Linked DNA regions of Alligator mississippiensis. Each later gene encodes a partner of the first gene's protein in a complex. Links are inferred from orthologs where the notes say so. Each region holds a gene or a part of one and is shown in the gene's direction. Other genes may lie near its edges. The genes, in order: ZBTB8OS and FAM98B.

Region 1 (16,324 bases):
TCACACCCCAGCTCATACACAGCTTGGATTACAAATACCCAAGGGAACATTTATAATTATACCTTTTCCAAAACACACTTTTCTGATGTTATATGAGACACGAGAAAGTTTCTTACATTTGTAAACCCTCACTTCTACTAAGCTTAAGTAGGCTTCAGTGTTCCTTTGAGACTCAGCCAAAGCTATACAGCAAGTCTGTTTGAGAGCTGTGAATAGAAGTCAGTGATGAACAGACTAAAAATCAGAACTCCATCTTAGATCTATCCCTTCTCACATTGACACACACTTCCCCTCCCAATCAATGCTACTCACCATTTGCCAGACTTGCATGATATTGTCTTCTGATACAGAACAAATTACCCAGGGTTCATTGGGATTCCAGGAGAAATCAGATATTTTTGCAGTGTGACCACCATGAATAAACTGGTATTGGAACAGAAAATAAAATAAGGTATTCAGGGTGGAAGTGAAATACGTTAGATCCAGTACTACAATCTGGGTACTTTGGAGGGTTAAGTTCCTTATGACCTCATGAAGACGAGTGCAGAGTAACCAGGAGCGTATAAAATTGCAGCAAAAGAGCTATGCACTACCAATGAGGTGCTCCAGCTGTTTGCTGTGGCCTTTATTTCAAAGACACCACTTCTCCAATCAGCCAGCACCCCTTCAGAACTAGCATCCCTTGAAGTCACAACCAGCTGCAAAACAACTTGCCCTTAAATCTGCACACACTGCATGTCACCTAGATACAAATAACCTTGGTTCTGCTGTAATAGGAGTTGGGAGAAGAAGCAGACACCACAACAACCCCTCCTCCCTCTTACCAAGAGCTCTGGTGGGCCATCCTCTGCATCCTCAGGAGACTGCTCTTCTCCAATTTTACTGTAGTAGAAACAAGGGCAAAATTGAAACAGATATATTTTGCAGAACATGCGGGCGCACACACAAAAAAAAAAAATCAATTCTTAGGAAAATACACACCACACCAGCAGCAGATCACACAACACTATCAGTTTAGGATTTACCTTAAGTCCCAGACGTTTAGCCTACGGTCAGTACCACTGGAAGCCAAAATGGTTTCATTGTGGGGAGACCACTGCACCTGCAAGAAACAAATGAGAAAAAGAGGTGAATCTTAAAGCAGTGACATGAGACAAAAAATAATAGGATCTCTGTCCTAACTGTAGAGAAAATATACTTGCAATTTGATACTGGAAAACTCATTAGTTCACATATTCCCATTGAAAATGCTTCAGAGGGAGAAACTGGTTTATGAACACTGCTGACTTTGGGTTTCAAAGCATTAATGATGTACAACATGAAATCTTTTCATGTAGGATGCTTGAAGAACAGGTCCAAATCTTCCAAGAACACTACTTGCTATGACATCTACAATGGTGAGTTATCCAAATGCAAACCATTCATTCCTTTGAAACAGGAAGCTAACTTACATGGAGCAAAATAAGCTGAACAGGGGAAAGACAAAGGAATCCCACAATTCTGCTTATCCCAGTTAAAAATAGTTACTACCTCCACTCAGAAAGAACACTCCTAGGAACACTGCTCAACAGAGCAGAAAGATTCAGGGGGGGAAAAAAAAAAAAATCTAGGGCTCTGAATACAATTCTGCCAATACTTTGTAGAAATAGTGTGAAACAGCTCTAAAAATAACCCTCTCTAAAAAGAATGTAAACTATTGCCTTATTTAGAAAGTCCTACATGTTCTTTCAAATCACATTTGTGCTACTCTGATAACACTCATTTGCCAGCTCTTCTTGTACCAAAACTTGCTTAGTTTTTTATTAAGAGATGTCTACTTTCACAATTGTTCCTTGTGTCTAGCTAGCCTGGAAGACCCATACTATTGGTCCCCAGTTTGTATTCTATGCAGCTATAAGTCTTCCTCCAGGAGATGAAGATGCTACAGGCATCTCAGCAAGTTCCCTGCTCCCATTTACTGCCATATATAATTTGGCTGATTGTTTTCACTTCTAGGTACAGCCACTGAAGTGGTCTTTCATCTGTCCTGTTCCATTCACTCCATCAGTTTTATAAGCAACCTTATGTGTTTGGTAGCTTTCCCATAGCCAAGGATGTCTTCAGACACAGAACAGCTAAAGAACATGGCATACTTGCATTAAATGTTGAGTAACAAGGAAAAGAAAGAAAAATAAAAGGCTATTTCTAAGTTTTTCAAGTTGCTGACAAACCTGCAGCTCTGACTGGGAAAGAAATGAAGATATTTATAAAGATGCCAGTTTACTGTACCTGAAATATTTCATCTTTGTGCGATTCAAACGAGTGGAGCTTCAGTTTCAGGTTTCTCAGATCCCATAAAGCAACAGTCTGTTCAGGAAGAGAAGAGAGAAATTCAAGAAACACTTTCATCAAAGTTAACTAATATATGCTTTCCAAAGTGGAAACAGGTTTGGGACAGATGACAGTCCCTAATCTCAAGTCAGGCCTACCTTATCAGCTGATCCTGTGGCCAAAATAAACTCGCTATAGGGATTGAAAGACAGGCAGTTCACTTCAGCCGTGTGAGCATCTACTGAATGACTGGGCTTGGAGGTATTGTTTGACCGGGTGTCCCAGCTAGAGAGAGAGAGAAAACATGCAATTGGAGGAGGGAAGTTTCTTTCATTTCAAAACAGAAACATTCCTGGGTAATGCTCTCACTTACATCATGAGCTTCTGATCATCAGCAACAGATCCAAAGAGAGATTCATGGAGCAGGTGCCAAGATACATCTTCCACTACTGCTGTATGTCCAGTAAAGATGGTCTTTGCATCCACCACTTTGCCTTCCTTTGGAACAGCACTAATATCCCACAAGCAGATGGTCTTAGAGAAAAGGGGTATCTTTAAGATAGATGAACTCTTCACCCCCCCCCGGCCGCAATAGCCCACCCCCCAAGTGTAATAGTTGATCAAGCTCTGCAACTAACGTACAGCTGACATACCAATTTTATTTGCTGTACTCACATGATCATCAGAAGCACTAAGCAAATGTCCACTGAGATTTGGGTTCCATGACAGCCCATAGCCTTCCTTCTGGTGTCCACGAAGACGCAAGTCAGGGTTACACTCACCAGAAGGGTCTGCAAAGAGAGTTTCAGTAAACTTAGGTTCCAAACAACTCTGCCGGTGTAAGTGCTTGACAAAAAACGTAGATTTGACTTCCTCCAGTAACAGAACCATCCCACTGAGAGACATGAGAGTTTACAAGATTAAACAAAATGCTACTGATGATGGTTTTCAAATGCTTAATACAGACACTAGCTCACCCACTGAATATTTCAGTAATACTAAGGGGCTCAGTTCCACTTGCTACACGTTATATAAGCAAAACAATTCTTACTATCTTCAATCTTTGTCAAAAACTAGGTGATGAAAACACCACCTTGGTCACTACTTTAAGAATTCTCCTTAATTGCACAAAGATATATTCGTCATTTTTAGATATATTTCTACATTTGGGTTCCAGTCTCACTTTGAAACTTGGAGACTATCTTATGTTCACACCCCACCAAAGACTAAGCCAGGTCCCTGAAGGTTTTTTCTAGTTATTTTACAACAAAAAAGGGACAGCGGTTTAGCCAGCAAACAGATGAAATAGCTCTCCGCTGGCTAGTGAGCCTCTTCCACCATTGCAAAGAAAGTAGCATTGCAGTGCTACAATAAATGAGCAACAGCAAATGGAGACCATCACAGGATATTCAACTTTAAAAAAATAGATAATAAGCAGAGCTACAGCAGAACATGCAGTGAGAAGGCCAATGGAAGTGTGTGTTTTAAAGATCTGTAAATGTATTTCCCTTTTTAAGCACCTTGGAAAGCGACCATTTTATTCTAAAATTAAAAATGACACGTAACCCACAAAAGCCCTTCAACTGCCACAGAACAGTGTCAGCCTTTCCCCCCCCCCCGAAAAGACTCTGAGTTCCTGTTCAAACTGTATTTGAGGTTCTGTGCCCAATCTTCAAGTTACATAGATACAGACACCTGGTTTAGAAGGGTGCTTGGTGTAGTCAAAGACCAGGACATCGCTGGATGGAGTCTTTGTAGCAATGATACATGGATTTTGGGGCATGTAACGTGCTCTGTTCACTTCTCCTTCATGGTTGATCTTGATTTCAATCTCAATCTTCCCACTAACAGAGCCAAAGCCTCCAAACTCTGGAAATAAAGGATAGATGTATGTTAATGGTGAGCTGTACATATCGTTCAAATCATACAAAGGATTCAGCAAAGCCAAAGAAGTATCCACACAGTCACAGAGCAAAGAGTCTATTGACAAGGCATAAAGAAAAATAAAAAGCCAAGCAAAACTGATTTTCAAGGTTTTAATTTTAATACGAGTTGCAGTTACTACGTGAGCCCTGCTGGTTTTTAACACATTTCCAGATCACACTTAAGAGCTCATTACTGAAAAGTTTGATGACTATTTCTGATAAAAAGCTAATGACAGATGTTTTACCAATAAAAGGCTCCCTTGGGGCTATCAAACTTGCACCTATCTGTCTGCAAACAGCTGTATGCTGACTGACATGTGGTTAAAACCATGTTAAACCACGCATCATGTTCCTATTAAGGTCTGGGGCTGCAATAGCCTACATATGCAGAGATATACACTCCAGTCTTCAGCCTACCCTCATGACTCCAAAAGGAAGATCTAGAACCTTGTACAATTTGACAGGCAAATCCATCTAAGAAAGAAAACATGAACTGCCACCATTGTTTAAGCAGACAAAGGAAGTGAGAACTGTCAGAGTAACAGAATCTCTACCCTCTCTTCCATAGTGTGGAGGTCAGTTTACCAATTCTAAAACTGGGATTCACAGCATTAAAAAAAAAAAATGGGAGAGAAATATAATGAAACTGCAGTGGAATCTGGTCCATAAACACAGGAGCTGACTCTTTCAGAAAAATTCTTAAATCCATAACTTTTTGCCTAAAGTCTCCAAAAGAGAATTCACAGTAAAGTGCCAAGACTCCCTTTAGTGATGGGCATACTTCAAGAAATCTTAATAAAAAGTTTACATCCCCTGTAAGACAGAGTCTGAAAAAAATGCTTTGCCAAAAGCTTAGGAGCCAGAAAAATTATAGCTGATCAAGTATTTAAAAAGATAAAAACTATTAGTTTTAAACACGAGAAAACTGAGGTAGAAAGACAGCATTGCTCAAGGCCACAGCACTATCCCTCATTGTCAAGAGCACCTGGCTTCCAATCTGCTATTCAATTCAAAAGAGCAAACTGCCTTGTACGGAAAAATAAAGTAGCCGTAAAGCCGTTATAAAAAAAGAAAAAATCAGATAAGTGACTGAAATTCCTCAACAGATTTGCCGAAGCTATATTTAACATTTGTATTGTGAATTGGAGAGCAAGTATTTGTCAGCACCTGCACCGAGAGAGACCCCAACTTACACACTTTGTACAGGAATCTCTCTCTCTATCACACACACACACTTTTAATCATATACAACCAAGTCAAAACTAAACCTATTTTCAGGATCACAAGCAGATTTCAGGAAATAAACAGAATAAAAGGAAAAGATATCTACAGCCTTATGATCGCAAGTAATATTGCAAAACTTTTTAATATACTATACTTTAATACTCACTCTGAAAAAACAAAAAGGAATTGAAGACAACAACAAAAGAAAAGAAGTAGTGGTACTAAAATTTGATATTTCTGGGAAACAGAAATCCTGAAATGAAGTATTTTAGACAGAATCTTGTTTACAAGCAGTACTAGCAAGTCCAACAATCAAGGTATCAATTGCACAACCTTGGCTCCTGGCAAACAAGGAAATGAGACAACTGAACTGGAAAAGTTGTATAACGTGGAAGAAATCATTAACCCAACTAGAATAAGATATGGCTAATAGGTAGGAATGCTGGCTGCCTAGGAAGGTTACTGATATATTTGGTTTGGATCCCATGGTATTATGGCATTTAACTGAGCAAAATACAATCATCCTTTTATTCTGGAGGGGCTGGCACGTCTACCAGTCAGCAGAATTCAAGCTAAAAAGAACACTTGAAATTGTACACCCTCTAAGGAATGGCAGAAAGCCTCTTTTATCAAATTATGAAAGCTACCATCATAAAGAATACTTTATGCAGTCACAATGAGAAATAATTAAAATAATTTCTATTGCACAATCTTCCAATAAGTTCTACCCCTCTCCTCTTCAAAATGTTATAAAAGCAAAAAGTAAGTTTAATTCAGCATGGCATATGGAAGATTAGAGTACAGTGCACAGATCCAAGAAGAAAGGAGGAAAAGTTGTAACCTCTCCTGATCACTTCATAGGATAAAAGTTCCATATTACTTAATGATCTATTAACTCCAAATGAAAAAAGCCATTATGTCCAGTGGGAAAAAAAAGTTTGGAACTCCACTTGCTGATCATCCGAGACTCTTACCTCCTTTCTCGCTATCATAATGTGAAGCATCAAACTGTGCATCGTCATTGGGCAGCTGCACGCTGGCTATCACAAGATGATTTTGCTCGTCTGAAGTATGTGTCCCCAGGACTAGCCGGTGAATACTGAAATCTTTGCCTTCGGGTCTACAACAAAATAGGATTACAGGAGGGGAAATGAAAGGGAGTTAATTAGATATAGTTGGCTCACAGGAACAAACCTGGACCTGGAAATTAAACCTCCAAAAATAAATAAATAAAATAAAAATTATAATATATCTTTTAGCGCTGACCATGCCCTCTTACTCCAATATCAAATCTTCCAAACAAAATCACCGCAGTCCAACCCTAGACGGACAGCAGATACCTATTTCCTTGCTGCTATCCCAAACAAAATCACCGCAGTCCAACCCTAGACGGATAGCAGATACCTATTTCCTTGCTGCTATCCCAAACAAAATCACCCCTGTCCAACCTTAGACAGATAGCAGCAAGGAAATCTGTATCTGACATCCCCACAATACAAGCTCTCTTCTCCCCGCAGGACTCTCCCACTAGTACTCCCGTGAGTAACGCCTTGAGGCATATTAGCATTTTCTGCAAGTGACAGGTGGAAAAATACATTGTGTCAGGGACCCGGGGAAAGAACAGTTGTGCTGCACAGCAGAAGGGTTTTGAACAATACCTAAATGCTGCGTACGTTCATTTTGCAACTTCATCAATGGAGGGTAAAGAAGAAAACATCACTTAGTTACAGGTTGAACACAGCCTGAAACATTTGCTGCCAGTCAGCAGCTATTTCTGAATCAAAGAGGCACCAGGCAGCAGGCAGCAGAGGTGCTGCCTGGTGCCAGCACAACAGTCCTCAACCTACTGTGGCCAAAGAGCTGATCACAGCCGGCAGCAACCCACTCCCTCCCATACGTGACAGCGAAAGCGTCCTTCAGTCCCATTTACACCAACAACCAGGAGGCTCGACTCACCTGGTTACATCAGGAAGCCACTGGGCAGTCAAGCTGGGCCACTCGAGCGCGTGGGTCATCACCAGGTCGTAGAGGAAGGGCGTGTTCTTCTTCCAGATCTTGTACTCCTCGTTGATCACCCGCTCCTCCACCGCATCGTCGAAGGCTGCTGCACGTCGCCAAGGGGAGGAAAAAAGAACGTGTTCATTTCAACGGCGGGTCCGGCTAGCACCCTACCCGTGCGGCCCCGTCGCTTTGCCGTAGCTGCCAAACAAACCCACCCACTGCCAGGGTGCACCTTCCCACCCGCCCGCCCGCCCTCCGTGGCCCTCACGGGCCCATTACCAAGGGCCCCCCCCACCGCGCACAGACCTGGGGAAGCATTTCAGTCCCCCCCAAGAACCAGAATTGGGGGCTTTGCTGTGCAGATGAAGGGCCAATGATATCAAATATGCAAATTAAAGGAAAATTATGCAACACATGCTAATTAAAGGGGGGGGGAAATGCCTCTTTGAAGGCTCCCACGGAGGAGCCGGACAGGAAGAGAAGGGAGGCCCAAGGGCTGCTTGCTCCGGCAGGGCTGGGGAGGTCCCACTCCCGGCCGCGGCGCCAGGCCCTGCTCCCGGCCGCACGTACCTTCCTTGTCCGCCATGTTGGGGTGCGGGGCGCGGGCTGCCGGCTCGGTGCAGCCGCCGCTCTATTGTTTCCGACCCCCTCTGCGTGCCACTCCGGCGCCGCGCGCCCTTCGCGCCAACGCCCGCCAATCACCGCCCGCGGCCGGGCGCCCGCCGCCAATAGGAGCCCGGCGGGCGCTTGACAGGGCGGGCCTAAGGAGGCGGCGGGCTTGCTGTACGGTCACGTGGGAGGGGCCGGCGCTGGTGAAGCTCCCATGGGAGCCGCCATTTTCTGACGGAGGGGCAGCATGGCGGGCCGCCTTAAAGGGCCAGCGGCCCCTCATGCCCTTGCTGGGGCTCAAGCCTCATTGACCCTGTTTCTCAAGGCTGCTGCGGGAGGGGCAGAAAAGCAAGCAGCCTAGGGCTTGCCTGCCAGTCGCTGCAACCTGTGATCAGACAGGATTGAGGATCTTGAATAAAGCAATATTTATTAGCCTATATAGCAATATTGATCTCGAATAAAGCAATATTTATTTGCCCCCCTTTTTGTTTCGTTCTAGGTTTGAAGGACAAAATTCAGTTTTTGCCTGAATCTGCTTCCTACGTGGGGGTTTGTTTCTTTTTTCCCCTCTGATTTTCCCCCAAAGAGTCCGATCAGCGCTGGAGATCGTAAGAGTTTTGTACAAGAGCGTCCTGTGTAGGAGACATTATGGTCGGCCTTTGCTGACTATTAGGGATCCTGGTTTTCTCTGGATATCCCCAATTTTCAGTTAAAGTAATCCCAGATCCATGTTTTTCCATGATTAAGATTAAACATCACTAGTATTTACCTATATATTAATGAGGTTTCATTTAAAAAATCCACATTTTTTTGTGATTTAACTGAAAAATGGGGATTTAAAAAAAAAATTTTTTTTAATCGGAGAAAACCGGGATCGCTGCTGATTAGCCTCTGGCCTCGCTCTTCACTGCAGCAGGAAAGACGCTGATTATTTCCAACTGGAGTCAGTATTTTGCAGCGGTGTGAGAATAAAGCAGACCACGCAGGGGCTCCGAAGGAGGACGCTGGAGAACACCTACCCGATATCATCACCGTATCACAGAACATGAGAGCTGGAGGGACCTCGGGAGGTCACATCTAGTCCAACCCCTGCTCCGAGCAGGACCAGCCCCAACTACATCATCCCAGTGAAGGCTTTGCCAAGCTGGGTTTTGAAAACCTCCAAGGATGGAGACTGCACCATCTGTCTAGGTGACCCGCTCCAGTGCTTCATCACCATCACCCTCCCAGTGAGAGAGTATTTCCTAATATCCAACCTAAACCACCCTTGCTGCAACGTCAGACCGCTGCTCCTTGGCCACCACTGAGAACAGGACTACACTTTTCTTACAAATTGTATTCTTTACTCCCATCTTTAAAAAAACAGAGTAACTGATGGTATTTATTTAGTCTTAGATTTAAAAAATAAATAAATACCAGCTTTTCCTTCTACTGGAATTAACTCTAGAAACCATCTCATCGTTTCCCCCCTTTCGCTTTCATTCATAGCGCTCGGCCCCTGGTGGAAGCCTCAAACAGTCTAAATCGCCAGTGTTTTCCTTTTCTTTTGCTATTTTCCTTCTTCTTGAGCAGCAGCAGCATGCTTGAGGCTGCGCAAAATTAATCAAGTTAAACCAAAGGACAGCCTGGCACTAGCTCAAGGTGTAAGCTATTTGTGGTGCGGATCCTGAAAATGAAGCTTAACTTTAGGCACATTGAGAACTTCTTTCAGCTTCATTGACTCACTGCCTAGTACGTTTTTGCAGGCTAAAAAATACCCTTGCAAAGGATTTTGTGGCTGGAGAATTCAGGGGTGCACATTTCAAACCTCACTTATTTTCAGTGCCACTTGGTGTCCTCATTGCTCTCCAGTCGAGCAGGGAGCTCTGCCTTTAAAGGGTAGGATCACATGGTGAGTCTGGGCTGGATCAGGCGAAGAGGGGCTGTCTGAATAAAGCAGGAAGCAGGTGCTGCAAGGCTGACAGTGATGGCTGATAATTTCCGGGATTACAACCTGAACCAGGAGCAGAAGGCTATCAAAGCCAAGTACCCTCCACTCAATAAGAAGTATGAGTGTGAGTATCCCCATGGCATGTCTGTGGCTGGGAGGGGAGGTATAGACCTAAGCACGTGTAAAACTTGTGCTTCACACTGTGCCCTGGGATCTTGTCTCTAAGTGGGTAGGGGAGGCTTATTGATGCGTCTTGATATGTTATCTTAACGGAGATCATTTAGCTTTGTGCGATGGGTCCTAAAGAAGTCCCTGTGTGTTCAGCACCTCCAGGCAGGTTGCCATAACTAGTTAGTGACTCCTGACTTTGCAACTGGAAGTTTATTTTGAAAGCCTGAAAAGAGAAGGAAGCAAATCTTGCTGGGTGAAATGAAAAGTGGTATTATCACTCAAAACTGACTTGCAGTAGGGGGTAATGATGATACCATACTAAGAAAATATAATATTCATTGGAGAAACTATAATCCAAGAGCTGGTTAATTATGCAAATCACATCTGCCACCACTGATTTATTAGCCAGTCAGCTCAGAACAAAGTACCAATGCTTATTTTGTTTTAAAACTTAAGTATAATGCCTTAGTGTGGAGCTGTTATAAGGAGGGAGGTATGGTAGGGTCTGATCCTGTGCGTTACTGAGTCCCCTCAACTCCTGCTGGTTGAAGGGCAGACAACAAGTGCTCAGCACTGCAGCTCCCGGTATTATGCATCTTAGTGGCACAACTGTATCTGGCAGTAATTCTGCAGAATACTGGTTTCCACTGACACTGCACAGCTTGTTCCCATAAGCATGCAACTCATTTTGAATTAATGCCTGGTTTTCATATCCAGTTTAACCCCAGTAACACAAGTTGGATGGGTTTTAGGGTATTCTACCAATATTAGGGATACAGTGTAAAGCCAGGCCTATTACACCATCTGTTCTTTTATCCCCACAAGGGAAGTCAGATCAAAAGTTCCTTGAGAAACAAAATTTCTGTGAGCTGCTCCATAAAACAGATTATCTAAAATGCTTTTCTGGCATTTTAAGTGAACATTGATGTGAGACTGATTACAATATGGGGGGCAGGGGGAAGGTTACCAACTTCAAGGAGAAGAAAATTGAAACAAGAGTTTTGGGTTCAAATTCTGTCTTTAAGTTTCTTCCATGTGGCCTGTATAGTTTGGGAAAGCTCTATAACATTTTCATCTATTGAAGGATGGTATGAAATGCATATATATTGGGGGTACTTTTTGTGGAAACAAGGTGATGGGTTTATTATGGAGGGGTTGTTTTTCTTGGTGGCTTTCTTTTAAAACCTATTATGGTACCTACTATGTGCTGCTATCATATTGATCCTTTTATAGCATATTTAGCTAAAGGTCAGATTAACATTATTAATATGAGGTCAGATGTGTCAAAACATGCACAAAATATTCTCATGATAAAAACAGGACCTGAATTTTCTTGCAAGTAGTCATGCGTTGTTTTTCTAAACAACTTTGACAATTCCATAACTCTTTCTTTTTTTCTCCTAATCCTTCAGATCTGGATCACACGGCTGATGTTCAGTGAGTATTTACAGCTGGAATTTGAGTAGAATTTCTCTATAAGCCTGATTCTCTTCAATACTTGTCAATCAGGAGTAACTGACAAAATCTAATGTGACAAGAGAATAGGGTGCAAATATATCCCTTTTGGGCCTGTGGATGCCACATTTAAAGATGCTGTATTTGTTTCATAATTCTGCTGCCTCTTATTTCCAAATGTTCCATGTACATATGTTCCAACAGTACCTGTTTAGATATCCATGGTTTTTAGTAAAATACTCAATATTTTTCCATGTTGTTCCTCCAAAAGAAACTCCATTGTCTTTCAGTGTTTCAGCACTTACCATAGACAAGTCTCCCTGCTTAAAGGCACTGTGTTTGCTGCTTTTCCTACTCGTATTTCTATGGTACTCCAATTCCTTACTTGTATTTTCTCGTCTTTCTTTGTCGCTGCTGTATGATGGTGTAACTCTTACGTCTCTGTAGGTTACATGCCTGGGGAGATACTTTGGAAGAAGCTTTTGAGCAGTGTGCTATGGCCATGTTTGGCTACATAACAGATACAGAGACTGTGGAGCCCTTGGATACTGTAGAAGTGCAGACAGAAGGTAAGAAGGCACTGTGCAAACTTTGAAAGAGAATACTGTTGAAATTAACTTTGCCTTTCAGTCAGAAATAGCTGGCTTATTGCATGTAGTATTGGCACAGGTTTATTAAACTAACTTATTCTTTCCAAATCTGAATATGCAAGTACATAATAAGCAGGAAAACTGAACTTCTGCCCTGATGTACACAAAAAGGAAGTTTGCAAAATTCTGAACAGGGCACCCAACTGAGTTTCTTTTGCTGTTTCTGTCCTACAGGACATGACATGCTGTCTCTTCTTTATAACTTCTTGAATGAGTGGCTGTATACATTCAGCGCTGACCAGTTCTTCATACCCAGGGTATGTATTTTTTTCCCAGCATATGGGGCAGGCATATTCACTGCCAACGCTTGCCCCAAATTTATTATTCTTGGGGCAAAAACATTGGAACCAACAGGTCTGCTTAGGCCTACCAATGCATAGGAAATTGTGGGTACAAGCATGAGTTGAAGGAGGAGTAAACTCTCAATTTTGTTGTTTTCAAACCCGTTATGGCTTTGGTTATGTTGTAATTGCAGTTCTCTGCACATCTAAACATCAGCGTATCTCTGAGGCTGATTGAACTCTTCTTGTGTCTCTAATGATGGCAATATGAATATTTAACTTTGCATGGGAATAGTACAGGGAGTCGTCATATGGCATAAAACTATATGAGAAATGCTCTTTGTGGCCATTTTTTCCTGTTACTTTCTCTGCAGGAGGTGAAAGTGCTCTCCATTGACCGAATGAGTTTCAAAATAAGATCCATTGGGTGAGTAAGCAGAACATTCTGGTTAAAAGCAAAACTCAAATGTGTGCACACAAATTTAAAAGCAATATAGCTTACTTAGGGGAACAGCCAAGTTTGAAGTTGACTCTTCCACCGGCGCCCACTTTAAACCTAGGCAAGTTATAATATCTGCTTGTTATCCTCATATAAATGTTAGTATCTACCACAGAAGCTGTCATGTGGAAGGTAGGGTACAATGACACCTTAAAAAGTAACTGGTTCAGAGAGGTGTGAGCTCTTGTAGACAACAATCTACTTTATCAGATGCTATGAAAGGGCTGATAGAGGAAAAAAAGCTATCATGGAGAAAAATCATTTCATGTTTGCAAAATCAAGATGTAAATATTATCTATCCCAATACATTTCAACCAGTCACTTTCAAAAACCTGGAAGCAGATAGGAAACAAAATTAATAATCCCAGGATTTCCAAGTTACTTATGAAAAGCAAATTAGTGTCTCTTCAATTTTTTTTTTCTACGTCTCTGAGGCCTTGTATGGTCTATGATTTGAAGAAGTGATGTTGAATTCATTTAGTTAGCTCACTTTTTAAATAGTTTGCTAAGGAGCCTAGATGATGGGACACAGGGCTTAACATTTAAAAAGCATGTTGCAAATACTAAGTATCTTTGCCAGAAATGGTTTAACTCCTTGTGGGAGTGGCTATCCCCACACTATATTAAGTCCCCATTTTGAATGGACAACTGATGACAATTACTATGATGGGCTAAAGCTGTGTGGCATTTACCATGAAGTGCTTGGAGACTTCCTGTTTCCTTCTCCAGTACTTAAAGCTGGAATTCCAGGTCTTTATGTGTACTAATGAAGCCAATAGTAGTATTTGCTGAATTAAACCAAAATTTCAACAGTTTCTTTTCTTTTCTCTTCTCACATAAGGTGGGGGGAAGAGTTCTCTCTACCCAAACATCCTCAGGTATGTACCAAATGACTTTTATGATTTACATTTTCAGGTAAAATATGGGCTTTTCTCTTTTAACTAGACCACTAAGTTTATTCGGAGATCCAATTTTAAACTTTTCTGCTTGTACAACTCTGTTACCTCTGATACCAAAGCCCTTGTTTGCTAGCTGCTGTTTGTGAATGGGACTATTAGTCAACAATGTTAGGAATACCATCTGTATGATTACTCAAGCAGTGGCTGAAATGGGTCACAATTTTGGCTCTTTTTTCTGACACCAGTGACATGCCAGTTCAGTCCCAACACGGGATGTTTTCATGAGTTTGGTTTGTGTGCAGTAGAACTAGTCATTGGGCTGTGAGTCTTATCGAAAATTAGTAATAAACTAATATAATTTGTTTTATTACATTCCACTCCTACTTTCCCACCCTCCCCTTTTTGCTAACAGTCTGTGATGGTTGCTTTAACCCAAGAGAAGCAAATTATAGTGGTCTTCGTTAGCTAGGAGAGAGGTTTGATGCCCTGCTGCAGTGAGTGGTAGTGAAGAACGGAGAAACTACTTGTTTTGCTGTTGGGCAGCTCTGGTGTCTAGGTGAGCGATTGCTTGGTGATGTCCCATTCTTTGTACTCATCAGAACAAATATAGTACAGCCATGCTTCAGGGAGAAGGATTCTCTAACTTGCCATGCCCAGGGAGCCAAAAAATAGTGTGTGTGTGCATTCATGTGGAGTGGCTATTAGGGCTTATGACTTACAAAATCCATCTTTCTGTGCTTGTTTCATCCAGGGTACTGAAGTCAAGGCAATAACTTACTCTGCAATGCAGATCCATGAAGACCAAAAGCCAGAAGTTTTTGTCATCATTGATATCTAAAAAAGAAGAAAATGCTGCTGAAATGCCTGGAAAAATCATTCTTAGCCAGCAAAGGTCCCACAAACTCTGCTACCTCCACAGAAATAACTAAACGATTGGCTAAAATTGCTGAATTGTACTGTTAATGTTATTTTACTGAATGAGTCAGGGGAATTAAGAAATATTCAGATGTGTCTTGACTTTGAGGAACGGCAGACGAGTCTGGGAATTGGATGTCTAGACAAGAAACTAGTTTTAAGAAGCTTGCACATCTCAAACTTGCAAGAGCAGCATAAGGAGTTAAAATTTCTCACTAGCACTGCTGTTGTGCATTGATTTTTAAATTGGCATTGGTACTGTGTCCTGGTGAACATGGGTGATCAGTAAGAAATTAATTACTTCTTATCTTTATTAGTCAAAATATTATCTTGTTGCAAGCTGGCAGAAGACAGAGAAAATTTGATGTACACATTTTCTTTGCCTTTATTCTGAAGGACCTACCTCTCGTTGTGCTTCATTGGTGCGCATTTTAATTTACTCAGGCTGAGGTGACATTGTTCTTTTGCATTATTTAATGCCTTTAAGATCTCTGCCACTTGAGGTCTTTTTACGAAAATTATAAGTGCATTGCAATGATTTTAAAGCAGCAAACGCCTTCAAAAATATCTGAATGATATTAGAAAAGATGCCACCAGGTGGTGCTAAATCTCCATATAGTGCTAACTGATAGTCTGACCTAATAAAGCAGTATCCATGTGACTGGAGTATTAATTATTCCTTTCATTCTTCCAAAAAAGTGAAGGCTGGATTTCACTGCTGGTGTAGAAAGGCATCTACCAAAATCATCTGCAGTTTCAGGACAATAGTCTCTTGCAATAAAAAGGAAAATTCTGTTCTGTTTTAATGTATACAAGTCTATGTAAATTGGCTGCTTTAGTCTTCTCCTTTAGAAAGCGTAATAACAACCTCCGGAGCAGCATAGGAGGCTACACATGATGTTTACATAGTACTTTTTTTTTTCACTGGATTACACAGCACACACTTCTTAGACCCTGGTGTGCAATTGCTGAGGAAAGTTCCCTTGCCTTTCCTTAAATACTTGAACTTTCCTCTACTGGCACTTCCACTATCCACTCACTCCTGGAATAAAAAAAAAAAAAGAAGTGTGTCCCCTACCCAGCCCCTCCAAACTAATATTCACTGGCTATCCCTTATTTGAAATCATTTAAAAAAAAATGGAGACACGGCACTCTAGTTCCACTGTGCACTAAACTATTCATATGATGATGTCTCCTTGCTGGTTTGCACCAAACATTGTAAGTGCTTTGTCTCCACTTTGGATTTTTCAGTTGGTTATTTTTGCTTCCCCTGTCCCCAGTAATGAGAAGACAAATCCTTTGTTTTCAGGTTTGGTGTTGGGTGGGATAGGCAAAAACCGAGGGAGACGAACAAACAAGTCTCTTCTAAGGAAAAACAAAATTGCAACTGAAAATCTGCATTTCTAAGGAATTGTTTGTGAATGTGTGACTAGTTTTTGGAGAGCGGATGTTTTG
Region 2 (15,506 bases), on another chromosome or scaffold:
GCATGACAAGGTGCAGTTAGCCTTACTGACCGCTCCTCACATTGGCAGCTCATGTTCATCCTGGAGTTAACAATGACTCCAAGATCCCTTTCTGCCACCATGTTGACAAGAAGGGTGTTCCCCAGCCTGTAGGTGTGTTGCTGGTTCCTTCTCCCTAGATGCAGCACCTTGCATTTGTCTACACTGAATTCCATCCTATTCTCATCCACCCACCTCTGTAATTTGTCTAGATCTAGCTGGATTCTGTCCCTCCCCTCCAGTGTACCCACCTCGTCCCACAACTTGGTGTCGTCAGCGAATTTGGACAGCGTGCTTTCCACACCCACATCCAGATCGCTGATAAAGATGTTGAACAGTACAGGCCCCAGGACCGAGCCCTGGGGGACTCCACTGCCCATATCCCTCCAGGTCAAAAACGACCCATCCACCACCACTCTCTGGGTGTGACCATCTAATCAATTTGCCACCCATGTAGATAGCCATGTTAGTCTAAAGTCAAGTACAAGGCATGGTAGATTTGGACCTTTTAGGCTAAGCAGTGTGTGTGTGTGTGTGTGTGTGTGTGTGTGTGTGTGTGTGTGTGTGTGTGCGCGCGCGTAGAACAAGCTTTTGTTGGCTGATGCTCACTTCACAACCCTTCTACTTTACTGTCTTATTTGACTTCTACTTGACTAACATGAGTCTGTAAGGTGCAAACCTACCTATCTCAGGTACAAAAAAGTGCCTTTCCTTTGTAATGCTGCTAGCAGAACAATCAAAAGCTAAGGGGGAGGTGTAGTTGCCAAGGACATTAGTGGTCCCAACAATTAAGAACATATCTTGCTGAAATATTTTCAGGCCCCCAGTCCTAGCCCTATTGAAGTAAATGGCAAAATACTTATTAAACTGTGCACTATTTACCTTAGCTCCATGAGCCAATAATCTCACAGAGCTAGATTGTCTCACAGGTACAACTCTGTGAGTGTGTCTACATGAGATGCTTTACTGCACAGTAGACTAATCTTCTGTAAAGTGTCAGCTTCTACACATGCGCACCATTTACTGTGCAGTAAATTAGTTTCCTGTGCAGTTAGTTACTATCTGTAAATACAGATAGTAAACTAAGTGCACCGTAGGTACTGCTCAGTAGTGCATGTGTAGATGCTGACCAGGAACAAATTTGCTCCCAGTCAACCCCAACACTAGAGGGCCACAGGGGATGGGGAACGCCCCCCGTCCTGGCACTACTCAGCTCCAAGCTCCTGCCAGAAGCTGGAAGCCAAGCAGTGCCTGGATGGGGTAGCTCCCTGCCCCACTTCCTCTCCCAGTGCTGCTCAGCTCGCCACAGGACTTGGGAGCTCCCAGCTTCCCTGTGTAGCCCAGGGCTGGCCTTTCTGGGAAAGCTCCCAGCCAGCTCTGGGCTGTGCAGGGATTTCCCCAAGCAGCCTGGGGCTGGCTGGGAACTGTCCCGTCAATGTAGGCATGTTCCCAGAGAAGGCTTACTGCCCAGTATTTCACTAGGCAGTAAGCCTTTGTAGCATTAATAGCATGTATAGATGTGCCCTGTATTGAGAATAGTAGAGAGTCATACCAGCTTAGGACGGGAAAGTACTGAAAGGGTTGCACTCCGTAGCTGGAATATATAACTCACCTTGTGCAGCTGGTCCTGTGTAGAGATAGCTTTGCTTTACTCTGACTTTGCCTCACTGTCCTTGGAGAACCATCTGCTCCTGAGGAAGTAATCTTGAAGCAGTGCCTGTACTCCCTTTCCAGAAACTACAATTCTAACCATAGAATGTGAGAAAGGTATTATTCCTTCTCCTCAACTACATACTCACAAGGGCTAGACAAATTGTAGCCAGGAGTAATACACTATTATAACTTTTAAAGCAAGTTAAATTCATATGATTCCTGCCTGCTGTTTTACAATTAAGGCTGCCTTCCTTGGAGACTTTATGAAGTACATAAATAAAAGTTCTCCCCACCAGATCACCCTCACACACTTCACCAGTACTCCTTTTTGCCAAGACTAAATGGCTAAAATAAATGTGGAGTTTCTAAACCCAGAACTTCTTGGAGATATAACGAAGTTAATAAAATGTCCCCGATAAAAAAGCCTTTCATTTTGACCTATCATATCTCCCATGTACCTTGTCACAAAGTTTTCAAAATAGTTCTTTCCTGATTGAAATCTATATGCAACAAGGTCAGGTGGATTGGAGTTTGGGGAGACAGAATCTAAATCAAATGCTTATAATGGGAGGCAAGCTTCAATGATAGAAAGCAGATATTTGAAACATTTACACCAGTAAAAATTTCATTATTTTGAATGGTAATGTAAGTTACCCTCATGTCTTCAGGGACACCCAGCCAGCTGTCAGGAGGTAGCTGCCTAAAATGGACACCATTTCAGCACCTCACAGTTAAACTGCAGGGAGCTAATAATATCCTATTTGCATTGTGCAAATGGCTGTCCTAAGATGAAATTAAATTGAACTGCAGACACACATCATGTGTACCAGTGTATAGTCACACCTGACTATCCCAGCAGTATCTTTACTTTAGAGTAGTGGCTTCCACTGGTGTTGATTTGTACATCATGTCTATCCCATCTTTACACTGATATAAAGACAGATTTTTCTACTGTAAATGTACCTTGTGTGTGCACCTTCAATTAAGTAGCACTAGCTACTTAATGCACAGGATTCTTAACCCGTGTAAATTGCTATATTCTGTTTTAGTTAGTGAAACTCTAATTTGCATCTAATTATTTTGAATGTGTGGACTGGACACAAAATTGTACCAGTTTAACTGTTATTGTAAACTGATTTAGGGTACATACAGTTGTTTGGAGAGATCAGAGGAAGGGTAGATCACTTTAAAAATGGCCACCCAATCTAATGTAATTTGCCCTGATGTGGACCTTACACTTAGATCCCTAGTTAGGTCAATCTAAGTGCAAACTGTATGGAAGATCAGGAAGGTTAGGTCCATCTAAAAATGACCAACCTGATCTAAGTTAACTGTACCTAGGAGGTAATTTAATTTGATTGGGTCCAGTGAGATCAATCTAACTGAACTTCTGTACAGTCCCCCGTGCAGTCATAGGGCTGGGAAAGCCCAGCTGCTGGCCCCAGGTATAGGGCTGTGCTTTTCCTAACCCCCTACTGCCCTGGCACTGAGCTATTTTTAGCACCCCCTTCTCCCCCCCGCCCCCCTGCCCAAACCCCATGCTCCACTCCCAGATGGATAACCCGTCTCACAGACCAGCCACCACCCCCACCCCCCACCACCTGCCAAACCCCCTATCCTGCAAGCTGCTCCCAGTGCCATTTTACTGGCTTTCACTGGTGCTGGGAGCCAAGGAAGTAAGTTGGGATGTTGGCAAGACTGGGAGGTTGGTTAGCTGGGAGGGTTGTTTGTCTGGGGGTGGGGGTGTTGGGAGGCTAAAAATAACCCGTGGTTCTGGGGGGGGTGGGGGGGATCTCCCGCATCCCTCCCCAAGCCTCACCACAGACCCTGCTGGTCACTCTGACCCACCAATCCCCCTAGGGACCCTGTTAGCCTCCCCAATCCCACCAGCCCCCCATGGACCTCGCTAGCTGCCTCTGATCTCCCCCCATCCCCCATCTCAACATACTTAGATTGGGTGGCCATTTTTAAGTTGATCCAACTTCCCCCTAACCTTCCTGAATCTCTGTCCATACCCTTAGTTAAACTAGTGTTATTTTGCGTGGACATCCCAATCAATTTTGAATGAATGTAAGTGTGCTAACTATGGGCTTAGCATTGGGTTTAACTACATCAGTTTTTAAACTATATTAAGTTACGTATGTGCAACCTTTGTTTGTAGACAAGTTTAAAGATCAGCGTGCAAGGTTTTCCCAACAGCTCAAAGAATAGCTATTTGTCTACAGATAGAAGTTGAACCATTTGCATTTAAACAATTTAAATTAAATCAAATAACACCCTCTGAAAACACTCCTATTTTGGCTTAGGAATACTTTATTTCATTTTAGCTTAAACCTGTCCTTAATCAATTTAAACTAAATCAATATAAGTTACTTATATTGATTGAAAAGTGTCCACATAGTATTTTGCATTGATTTAATTCAATCAATTTTAAATTACACATTTATTTAAGCAAGTACACATTTGCATATAGACAAGCTCTCAGTGTTAGACAAAAAAATTGTTAGTACTTTGAATATTTTATTCCCCTTTCTTCTCTGCTTCTATGGTCCCCTCTAGTGGTTGTTTTCTATGAAATGCATCTTTATACTGCATATTATTGAAATGAAAATATACAGGAAGAGGCATGTAGATTTGTTTGTGCTCTGCATTGAAATAGCTGTTGTGGAATCTGCTTCTCATCTCTTTACATTCGATCTGTTTTTTCACCATGTTGTATATTATAAAGGAGAAAATTAATGGATTTTATGAAACTTACGCTTACTGTGTCTCTACACATTTTTATTTTTATCATGAAGAGCCTGAATACTGCTTTTCCAAGAGTAATTCCTTCTAACCACTTACCATAAAATGTATATCATGAACAGCGCTAGTTACATAGATTTAACATGCTTCTGTTTATTAACAGAAATATACATAATACCTTTGAAGACCTGGATTTGAGTATCTCAGAGAAGAATAGGTGAAGAGAGAATAGACATTTCCTCTACACTACTGCTTACTCTACTCCATAAAATCTTGTCTGTTGTATTTTAATATATTATTATACTCCTATGTGATATAACGTTTTCCTCTCTGTAGATATATATAATAAAAGTAAAGAGAAAAGGTAAGTTATGACACTTTCTTCTATGATTTGATGGCCGGTGCTTTGAAGCCTGGCTAATGCTTGTAAAGGAGACCTAGATACCTATTCTTAAAATCCAAGGTACGTTATTTTTTTAGTTCTAACGGGCCAATTGCGAGGGAATTTTTCAAACAAGAGGAAGAGAAGAAGGGGCACCAAAAGGAGGAACGGCTGAAAAAGAGAAAGAAAACCACCCATTTTACATGAAAGCATTTAATCTCAGCTACTGCAGACCAACCAGCCTAACTGTTCTTCTGAATCCTAGAATAACACTGTCTAAGCCAGTGCTTTCCAAACTTTTCCTCAGCATGACCCCATTTGCTCAACTTGGCCCCTCACTCCCAACTCACCCCCCCCACCCTCCTCAAGCGTCCCTCACTCCCAGTCCACAGCCCCCAACTCCTCGTAGGTTCCCCAGGCCCAGGTCCCACAGCCCCCCACCCTCCGCCTCCTGCCCTCCCATCCCAGCAGTACCCAAGTGGGTGGGACCTGGTGCAAGAGAGAGCACTGAGCTACAACCCCATCTACTGATGGTGTGACCCCATTTGGGGTCATGACCCAGAGTTTGGGAACCACTGCTCTAAGCATGCAGCACCTTATAATATGCAATGATAAAATCCTGAAAGTGGACAATCATCTGCTTGCATTAACCACAAATTGGAGACAATTTCTTTGTACCCTCAGTAGTTAGTATCTTTGAATGCTGAATGTAACATTTGAATATATGAAGTCCCAAAGTTATGATGATGAATGCAAACTATACTAAGGTTGCAAAGTTCAGCACTCAGAAGTTATGAAATATCAGAATTAATGTGACTGATATGACCCTAGTTAGATTATTTACATATATGTATGTGTAGTAGTATGAATCAATATTAATAGAAATGTGTGGTAAAATCAGGCATAATAGGAAGTGCCTGAGGCCTCATAAAGACACACACAGGCTGACCACAGGCAGACTGCATCAGCCAACTGGGGCTGCCTTATGCACCGCTTCCATTTGTCACCAGGCAGACTATTAGTGCATGCTCATGTACAAATAATTTGGGAGAATACTTCCAGGTTTTTTCTCCTGCAACTTCTGTGGCAGGTCCATGGCTCACGGATCGGACTCTTAAGTAAGGCGACTGCCTTTTCAAAATGAAATGGTGGGACACATGCCCACCTTCCCACCCCCCGACAGTGGCACAGCCAGAACAGAACCGAGTGGGGTGGGGGCAGATGTGGACTACCCGCTATGGGCTCCCCACCCTGCTGCCCTCCCCTGGGAGCCCCATGCTGGCTGTGTGCTCCCTGCCTGTCTGGCAGCAGCAGGGAGCACAGCTCCTCACTGCTGCCCCCACTGCTACCGGGCATGAAGTGGGTGCATGGCCAGCGCAGGACTCCCAGGGCAGGGAGCCCCGATGCTGCAGCGGACAGTCTGCATCCGCCCCTGCCCCACGCACAAATCTGGCAGGGGGGCATGTGCCCCTCCCTACCCTCACCAGGGGGTGCTGCAATAGCAGGGAGCCGCCCCCCTTCTCCCCCACACCCGTTGGATGAACCACCCATGGCTCCCATCATGCTCCCCACCCCGGGCCGTGGGCCCATGCACTGCCCCAGCTAGGCAGCACTCCCAGTCCTTCCTTCCCCAACATGGAAAGGTTCAACCTGGCCCTCTCCCTAACTTACCTGCTGGAAGCTGCTCTCCATGGTGCCCAGCTGTATTCCCCGCCACACGCATGTATGTGGGCGTGCACATGCACATGGAGCCCCATGTGTCTGCTCCCAGCTGCAAACTGGAGCGCAGGGGCCTGCAAATCTGGGACAGATGCTGCCCTGGAGTCGTGCAGCCCCTGGACCTGATGGTCCCGTCCTGGGCCTGTCCCGCCCAAGCAGGGACTGGTGGTCACCGCCACGCACCTGTGCTGTGCTGTGCTGTGCTGTGCTGTGCTGTGCTGGAGAGAGCGTCATAGAAAAGTGGGGCTGGGAGGGACCTCCAGGGGTCATCTAGTCCGGCGTGTCTCCACTTGTGGGCTGCACCCGGGAAGCGGGGTGCAAGAACGTAGGCAAAGGTCGTGAGCAAACTTTGAAAGTGAATTCTTCTTTAAAGGGGAAAAAAAGTGGGAAATGTGGCTGTTCCCTTGGCGGCTGGCAGCCTGCCAGGGGCTGCTCGGGGCCCGCGAGGGCGGGGGCGGGGGCGGCGAAGGCGGGCCGGGCCGCGGCCGTTTACAGGCGGGAACGCGCGGCGAGGGCGGCGGTTGCAGCCGGGCTCGTGAGAGCGGGACACCGCGGGGCGGGCGCCGCGGCAGCATGAAGGAGCTGGAGCCGGCGCTGCGGATGGAGGGAGACATCCTGGACACGCTGGAGGCGCTGGGGTGAGGCGGCGGCGGCTGGGGCCCGCGAGGGGAGCGGGCAGGGGCGCCGTGCCGCGTTGGGCCGGGCCCTCCTCTTCTCTCCTGTCCCCTCCCCTCCCCTCCCCGAGCGGCGCCTGGGCCCCGCGTGCGCCCGCAGACTCCGCCTCGGCCCGGGAAGTGGTCGCGGGGCAGGGGGAGCAGGAACCGGCGTCCCCTGCAGCCCCGTGGCGGGAGCAGGGATGCTGCGGGGCAGGGGCAGAGGCAGGGCGGGCCGCCCTCCCCTTCCAGCCCCGCTTCCTGTGCTGCTCGGCCTGGCTGGCGCGGGCTTGGCCGGCGCCGTCCTCGCCGCGCCTTTTGCCCCACCAGCCTCCGCCCCCAAGAAACCCTGCCTTTCCCCATGGGGGACTCGGCCAGCCGGGCGGCTGCAGTGACACCGGCCTGTTTTTCCGCCCTCGATGCAACCCTAGCTTCCTCACAGTCACTTCCTTAGCTCCTTCATTTAGAAATAAAAGTGTACACTTTTATTTATGTGTGTATAAATACAAATAAAGAGCCAAGTTTTTCACATCCCCCAAGCATAGACCTTCAGAGCAATACCGCAAATCGTGAGAGTTGGCAACGATCGTGGGGATCTCCTTCTTGGGAGCAAGCTACCGAGGCTGGCGGCCGATTTCCACGCAACTCTCTTCTGGTGCAGTGACTGTCATTGGTCCCGCACACATGTACAAAGAAAATGCGGGGTAGGCAGTGCTCTCAGCCGGCCTTTCTCGCATACTTCAATTCATGGTTGGAGTTTACCGTCCTCATGGATTTGAATGCATTTGGATAGTGAAAACTGGCCCTTGTGTCTGCCTCAAAGGTAGCGAGAGGTTAGCTGTGTCAGTGTGAAGGCAGGCAGGAGGCAGGGTAGAAATGCACTTCATAGGCCAGTGGTTGTCAACCATTTTAGACCCAAGGCAGCCCTCGGAAATGCCAGCTCTTAGTTCTCTTTTTTTCCGACTACAGAAAAATAATCAAGCAAACTTTAGGAGGTAATTTAAAAAAAATAAATCTTCCAGTAGGTTTTGAAATTGAGGGTGTATTAAATGAAACTGGACATGCCAAACATTGCAGCCTAGTGTCCCTGCAATGCGTGAATTTGGAAAGGTGAAATTAAGCGTTGTTAGTTTGGGGTTTACTTGCTGCTGATCTAAGATGAAACAGTAAGCGGTTTTGCTTACGTGGTTTTTGAAAATTGAGTGCCCCTGTAAACTGTGCCCTGATGCCTAGTGTATTCAATGTAGCCTGAAATGCTACAGGGTAAATAGAACGATTGAGTGATTTGTCTTATTTGTGGTAGATGAACATGTACGTCTCCCACTTTGTGATGCATTCCAATAATGCACCATCATTCTCCTAATGCTAAATATTTCTTAAATGGTTTAAAGCAGTATAAAAATCCATGTGTAATAGTAGATATTTTATTAATACTCTTCATTTTTTCCCTCCCCGTCCAGGTACAAAGGTCCTCTACTAGAGGAGGAAGCACTGAACAAAGCAGTAGAAAATGGATTGTCTTCACCAGAATTTTTTGAACTGTGCATTTGGTTAAGCTCCCAGATAAAACCTCTCTGTGACCTGGAAGAAAGTATCACATCAGCAGGTGGTATTTGCACAGACTTTGGACTGCATATTATTTTAATTCGTTGGTATTTGCCTAAGCGTTGATTTTTTTTTTTCCTAGTCATTTACTCTTAAAGTATAAATTATGATCTTGTTTCAAGAAACAATTTTGAAACTTAGCAGTAAAATAGCTATAATCTAGATAAGCAAGAGGTTGAAGCTCATTTGTGCATGTATGGAAGTGTTCTATTTCAACTTAACTGAATTTTTTTTTTTTAAATTGACAATATAATTATTTTAAAGTAATCTTAATGTAAAAAGGGCATAATGTAAAATTAGCATACTACCTACAAATATTTGTAAACTTTCTGTTTCCTCAGTGAGATATTTTAAATAAATACACAGCATTTAGTTATTTTTCTTACATAATTTAAATACTCTACAGTGATTCATTTTTAGTGATATAAAATATTCACATGGCAGTGATATTTTTATTTGAAAGTGGAAAATGGACTATCTGTTTTTGTTACATGCTAGCTCCTAGTTCATTTCAACTAGGTGGACTCCTTCCTTAATAGATCAGTGTAACATTTTTCTTGGGAATAAAAAAAAAGTGTTTTGCAAGATTCATTTTTGAAAAAAAATGTTTGTGCAAGATTTTCTTCAAGATCATGGAAAGTGATGTTGATTAATAGGTCATAAATGTCTTTCGCCATCAATCAATATCTCACATATAAACTTTTGTATTAAGGGCAATAGGTTGTAATTTGTGTTTGAAAAGCCCACTAACTTTCCAATTACTTTGTTTTCTATTTTCTTAAGGTGAGAAAGATGTGGAAAGCTTCCAGCTTGAGATTAGCGGTTTTTTAAAAGAAATGGCTTGCCCATATTCAGTACTTGTTTCTGGAGATGTTAAAGACAGATTACAAAAGAAAGAAGATTGTCTTAAACTCCTATGTAAGTTCTGATAATTCCCATTAAGAATTGGTATCTTTTATGTACTGTATATGTCTTAATTTTTAAAAAAACATGCTCTGGCCCCTCATAGTTATTAGGGCTGATCAGAGTGCATAAACTAGTCCCACAGTTTGAGTATTATAGGAACGAAACCTGAAATTTCTTTCAAATGAGTGGTCCTGCATCAGTTTGGGTAGGGTATTAAAACTGCAAGCAAGGACCTGCCTCTCTAGTGAATTTAATGACTTCTCTACTGGTTCCCAGACAGCATGAGGTAAGAAGTCAACTGATTTGAGGGCAAGGACCAGGGCTATCCCTAAGGGTATGAATTAGGGCAACCACCCTTGGCCCTGTGCTTTGGGGGCCCCCACGGAGCAGGGCAGAGCAGCAGCAGTGTATAGCTGGGCAGAGCCACTTACTACTCCCCTCGCCACTGATGGCGGTGGCAGCTTCTTCGGGTCCGGGGCCATGGGATCAGGATGGCGGTGGCAGCTTTTTCGGGTCTGGGGCCATGGGATCGGAGTGAGGGTGGGGCCCTGCATGGGCTGATTTGTCCCAGGCCCCGCACCCTGCTCAGGTCAGCTCTATCAGAGATGACAATAGTTGGATTGAGGGGGTGGAAATAGTATCTTGGACATGAGGTTAGTGAGACAGGGGCTGAAGCTGGGTTACCAAGCCTGGGACTTTGGAAATGGAAGCACTGAGGGAAATCTTGATGGGACAGAAGGATTAGAAGTAACAAAGACTGAGATTAGGTGAGAAGCTGATAGGACTAGGAATGTGCAGAAAAGCATAGATAGTAGTGTGAAGAGAGCCAAATCTGGCAAGGAACCAGGGGATGGAGAAACAACTGGAACTGAGTAGAAAGAATAGACAAGAAGTCAAAGAAAGAGACTTAAAGAGTGTAATGGATATAATAATTGTACTGCTATTGAAGGATATAGCTGTTATGTTTGCATGATTGTTGTGTAAAGTGTGTAGTACAGTCAGCTTTTTTTTTTTTTTTTTTGGTTTTTTTGGGGGGTTTTTTTGGTTTGTTTTTTTTTTACAAGTGGGCCAGATCGTAAGATCAAAAATGTGCTGAGTGCTCATAAAATAGCATAGTTGGAAGTCTGCATGTGTAGTGAGCTTCCCCGAGCTCACCAGTTGGAGCTGTGGAGTGGAGGGGGTGAATGTCCCTGCCACTGAGGTAGCAGGGGAAAAGAGACAAATGGTGGCGGTATTCACTCCCTGGGCTCTGAGCAGAACCCATGCTGACATGCTATGAGCTCAGAGAACTCAATATGCATGCAGCTAGATGATAGGTTGTTCTTATGGTTTTGTGGACCACAGCCTGAGCACCATTGGTGTAGAAGAACTTGAGCTTTAACTCTTCTTCTTCCAGGGTCAGAGTTGGGTGATATAGCTAGCTTGTATTGCTACTGGCTTTTACGCACATAATAGGTACATCACAGCTGCTATGTGCTTCCAAGCAACAACAGCTCCTCCTCCTCTTTTGAAGCATCTACAAATGTATATCTGTTCGTATAGCTGAAGGAGTTGAGACTGAGGGCAGATACTGCTTTAGATAAGGAGCAATATTAGTCACACACAAGAGAATTTTGCAGGAGAAAACAAGTAGGCACCAGAAATGAGTAACATCCAGTTGTATGCTTCTATAACTTTTTTTTTAATGTTTGAAATTTGTCCTTAAGTTGACAGAGTTCTGTCTAATCCCTTTCTATTTTCTTATAGTTTTATTTATTTTGTATTTTATTAATTTGTGTTTTATTTTCTGTGAGAATGCAGGCACAAAGTTATTCAAGCTTTCTTAAAGATCCTATTATGGCACTTTTTTCTCTAGTATTTCTAAGTACGGAGCTTCAAGCTTTAAAGATACTGCACAACAAACAACTTAAAGGTTCTCACTTGGAAAAGCATAATGAAATCTATCACGAAGTGGAAGCTATCTCTGATTCACTGGGCCTATCAAAGTCATCATCTTCTGACATGCCTCTTTTATTGAGCAATGTAGAATCAAAGGTACAGAACTTTTAATTTTCTTTCTGTAATTTTCTATAATTCAGATATTCTTACACTATATATCTTACTGTCTAATTAAGTCAAATGTTAAGTATCAAAGGTTTCTCCAACTAACACAGAAGTTAATTCTAGTTTTGAAAACTATTTTAATCATGTCTAAATTGCATACCTTTAGCCAATTTTGGTTATCAAGTGAAAAATCTTTGCTATCTTTTGAAAAATGTGGTTTCTGATGAGGTATATTTTGCTATCTGTAGAATGTAGGACCACGTGGGGAAGTCTACTATTTTACCAAATGCCTCCTAAAATAAGATGGGGTTTTTGCTTTTATTTACCTGAATCAGCAGTGATCCAAATATGTATTTAATTTGAATGTTTGATCACACCAATCTTCCACAGTTTCTTCTTGGATTATAAATACTGCCTAAACCTTTAAGGGCATAGCTATGGGGCTGCCTTACTTGGAGTACACACTTACCCAAACTCAAAATAAATTGTGCTTATTGATTGCACTGCACTAAGGTTTTTGCATTTTATTAAGGCTTCTTTCTAGGAGTGCCTTATGCTTCAATAGCAGCCATAAAACTGACAGAATCAAGTTGGTTGAGGGCTGTTTTAGAAGCTGTGTAATTTACAGTCCGGTTGTTTCATCAGTTTTGCACTTATACAGAGCACAGTTACTAAAGAGATAACAGGTCTCAGAATTTAAATGGTTCTGGCACTTAACTAATATGCAGATAACCGACATTTGTTACCATGAAAACAGCTGGACTGTTATCCATTTAAGTGAATTAGGTGTTTATCCAGTAGGATATTCTGTACTTAACATTATAGTAATTTAATGTTAAACAGTTCTGTGGGTTGTCACCTCAGAGCCCTGACTAACCCAAGTTACCCAACAACTTAAACCTCATTCAACAAGACAGTGTTTAAAACTATCGTCTACTAGGTTCAACCTGCTTGTTTAATTTGGTTCCATATTGACTACTTTGCTGTAAAATACTCTTCATACTCTAAAATAACCTTTAGGGTTTTTTTATAGCTCTTAAGATATTTAGAAGTTATAAATGTTAGATATTTGTAGGGGGAGGAGGGGTTACCATCATTTATAGTTCTAGTACTTAAAGATCATGTTTAGGATTGTTGACACATTCTTGTGCTGTGTGCAGACATGTATGTGAGCACTTCTCCAAAGCTGCTCAGTTTTCAGTGAAACAGATGAATGTGAAACCTTTTCTTTTTCTGCCTAAGTTTGTAATATAGTTTAGATTACTATAAAATGCTTACCAGTTAATGTCAGCTGTCTAAATAATCTGTCAGAAGAACAAACACTGAGACTAAGAAGTTATTTTGGGTGTTTTGATTTGTGTGCTCAACTGGACATTTTTGAAAGACTTTTTTGTTTTCCAGAAGGTGGATGCTAAGCACTTTTTGTAAACCAGGCTCTTTAAGATGTCCCCACTTCGGTACCCAAAGCTTGAGATGCCCAACATTAACTATGTTGGTTGGCACAATGGATGTTCTAGATATTCACTCTCTTGTATCTTAGAGAGTAATCAAGACTAAGGAACTTAAATTTGTTTTTTATAAACTAAAACTCTAAGACTCCAGTGAAAACAAATTGTAGTTGGATCCTTTCATGGTCCCCAAACATCTCAGAATCTGTGTTTCTAAAAGGCAGCACTAATACCTGGGGGTTTTGTTTCTTCTTTTATACCGAGTGTTTTCTATTGCTGCAGCCCTTCTCTGACAGCATGAATTGAGGCTGTAGTGACCCAGTTTTTTGCTAATGGGCACCAGTTTGAATGGAAGATTATTCAGCTTGATGAGTTTGTTATTTTGGATCTAGGAAACAGACCTCAGACCTATACGATGAGGCATTCAATAATATAACCATTTCAGAAGTCAACCAGATCCCTGAGTCTCCCACACTAAAACATTCCCTCAGCTATCTTACTCTTCTTTCTGTAGGGATGTGGCTGCTCAACAAGCTGGATGATATAAATAATCAAAATTTATACTAATTTATTGAACTCTTTTGAGATGATATGACACAAGTAGCCTGGTAGACTGCTAATTCATCTTATTTGCCATTTCTTTAGTTATTGCGTTTTCCTGACCATTTCTTAAGATTTAAAGATGGGTGTCTTCAAGTGAAACAGCAGACCTCTCTTAATGCAAAATCAGAAGGAAATGAAAATACCTGCATAGTCTTATTGCTAAATCATGTTGCCACAGGGATGGGAGCCAGCCAAAACTTTTAAATTGGATATATTTTAATTGTGTGTTTCTAACTCAATTTCAGTGTAATGTTTAATATGCTACCTGTGTGTGGCACTAGGTGTGTGTACATAGAGAATGGCAACACTGTATTACATGCAACAATGAAAACTTCAACAAAAATATTAAAAGACCACTTCCCTGACTATAGGCAACTAAGTGTCTCTGTTTCCTATGATTTTTTTATAGCACTGGGATCTGTTGGTTTTACTGTAACACCAAGTTTCCAGTTGCATTTCATTTCATAGCAAGTTTTTATATCCCTTGGCTAGCTAGTTTAATTTCTAGCAAGCCGGTGGTCCCCCAGCATAGATTTTTTTCAAAGGCATTGGTGTTGGCCTGATTCTTTAGCAGTTGATTGGAAGCAACTTAGGCAATAAGTAAATTTTAAAATGTTGTTGTTTTTAAGATCTTGTAGATAGAATGTGTTCTTAAAAAAACAAACAAACCTTACACTTTAATTTTTATTTTATTTTTTAAATGTGTCATAACTGAGTGGCCTCTATGGCCACGTCCACACGGACAGGGGTCTGTTTGCAGCAGCACAAATTTGTGCTGCTACTTTGTGCCACAGTCTGTGCCCTTTGCAGTGGGACACATTGTCCCTCTACTCCATGTGCTTCAGAGGGGGCTGGCTGGGCGCAGGGTGCCTCAGTGCAGTGCTAGCTGTTAGGCAGCCCCTGTACTGAGGCACCCTGTGCCCCAGGCAGCCAAGGAGCGGCAGTGGAGACGGGGGAGCTGGCGGCCCAAGGCTGAATGCTCCCCCATCTCCACACACTGTGGAGCCCCCATGTTGAGGCACCCTGTGCCCCAGCCAGCCAGCTCTGAGCTACCTGCTTCCCTGTATCCGCATGCTCCAGCGCAGGGGTTCTGCTGTGGAGCCCCCGCCCTAAGGCACATGGAGCCCCTGTGCTGAGGCACATTGCATCCCAGCCAGTTATGGAGGAGTTGGCTGGGGCACGGTGTGCCTCGAGATGGAGGAGCAACCAGCCCTGGGCTTTGGGTTGGCTGCTCCCCTGTCACCATGTGCCTCAGTGCAGGGGATCTGCAGCAGAGCCCCTGTGTTGAGGCATGCAGACAAGGGAGCAGCCAGGTGCTGCCTGCTCCTCTGTCTTGAGGAACATTGCACCCCAGTGCAGGGGCTCCACAGCCCAGGGCTGCCTGCTCCCTTGTCTCCACATTTGTCTCAGTGCATGCCACTTTGGCATGCTTTGTGCTGCTTCTTTCTTATATACTTTTTTTTTTTTTCCTACCAGGAAATCCTTGTAGCAAATGTTGCCCTGATGCTGCAAATTAGCAGTGCCTTGTACAATTTAATGTACAACACGTGGTTTGTGGCACTACAAAGAAGTTTGCAGGACCACAAACCACACATGCCCGCATGTCTGGATCTGGCATACAGTACTAAAAATTGTGGCACTTACTAATTCTCTCCAATAACTCTTCAAAGTGGAGGATGTTTTTTATGAACTTAGGAAAATTCGCTCCTTGGCTAATATAGAATATATATG

The links.
Region 2: ZBTB8OS (region 1) and FAM98B share a complex: the UniProt entries of both Homo sapiens proteins name them as parts of the tRNA-splicing ligase complex. The link is inferred for Alligator mississippiensis from reciprocal best matches to the Homo sapiens genes ZBTB8OS and FAM98B.

The regions. Positions count from the first base shown.
Region 1 is NC_081829.1:5,385,205-5,401,528, forward strand, and holds ZBTB8OS (protein archease), read left to right. Parts: upstream 1-9,981; 5' UTR 9,982-10,035; coding exon 10,036-10,123; intron 10,124-11,582; coding exon 11,583-11,607; intron 11,608-12,072; coding exon 12,073-12,194; intron 12,195-12,449; coding exon 12,450-12,532; intron 12,533-12,930; coding exon 12,931-12,983; intron 12,984-13,896; coding exon 13,897-13,933; intron 13,934-14,705; coding exon 14,706-14,792; 3' UTR 14,793-15,530; downstream 15,531-16,324. Other genes in the region: histone-binding protein RBBP4, read right to left, coding at 313-423, 825-882, 1,026-1,102, 2,269-2,346, 2,469-2,595, 2,684-2,862, 2,986-3,101, 4,006-4,179 and 3 more. UniProt on the Homo sapiens protein: Component of the tRNA-splicing ligase complex required to facilitate the enzymatic turnover of catalytic subunit RTCB. Together with DDX1, acts by facilitating the guanylylation of RTCB, a key intermediate step in tRNA ligation.
Region 2 is NC_081825.1:245,050,363-245,065,868, reverse strand, and holds the start of FAM98B (protein FAM98B), read left to right. Parts: upstream 1-7,005; 5' UTR 7,006-7,090; coding exon 7,091-7,155; intron 7,156-8,630; coding exon 8,631-8,776; intron 8,777-9,558; coding exon 9,559-9,693; intron 9,694-11,536; coding exon 11,537-11,715; intron 11,716-15,506. UniProt on the Homo sapiens protein: Positively stimulates PRMT1-induced protein arginine dimethylated arginine methylation.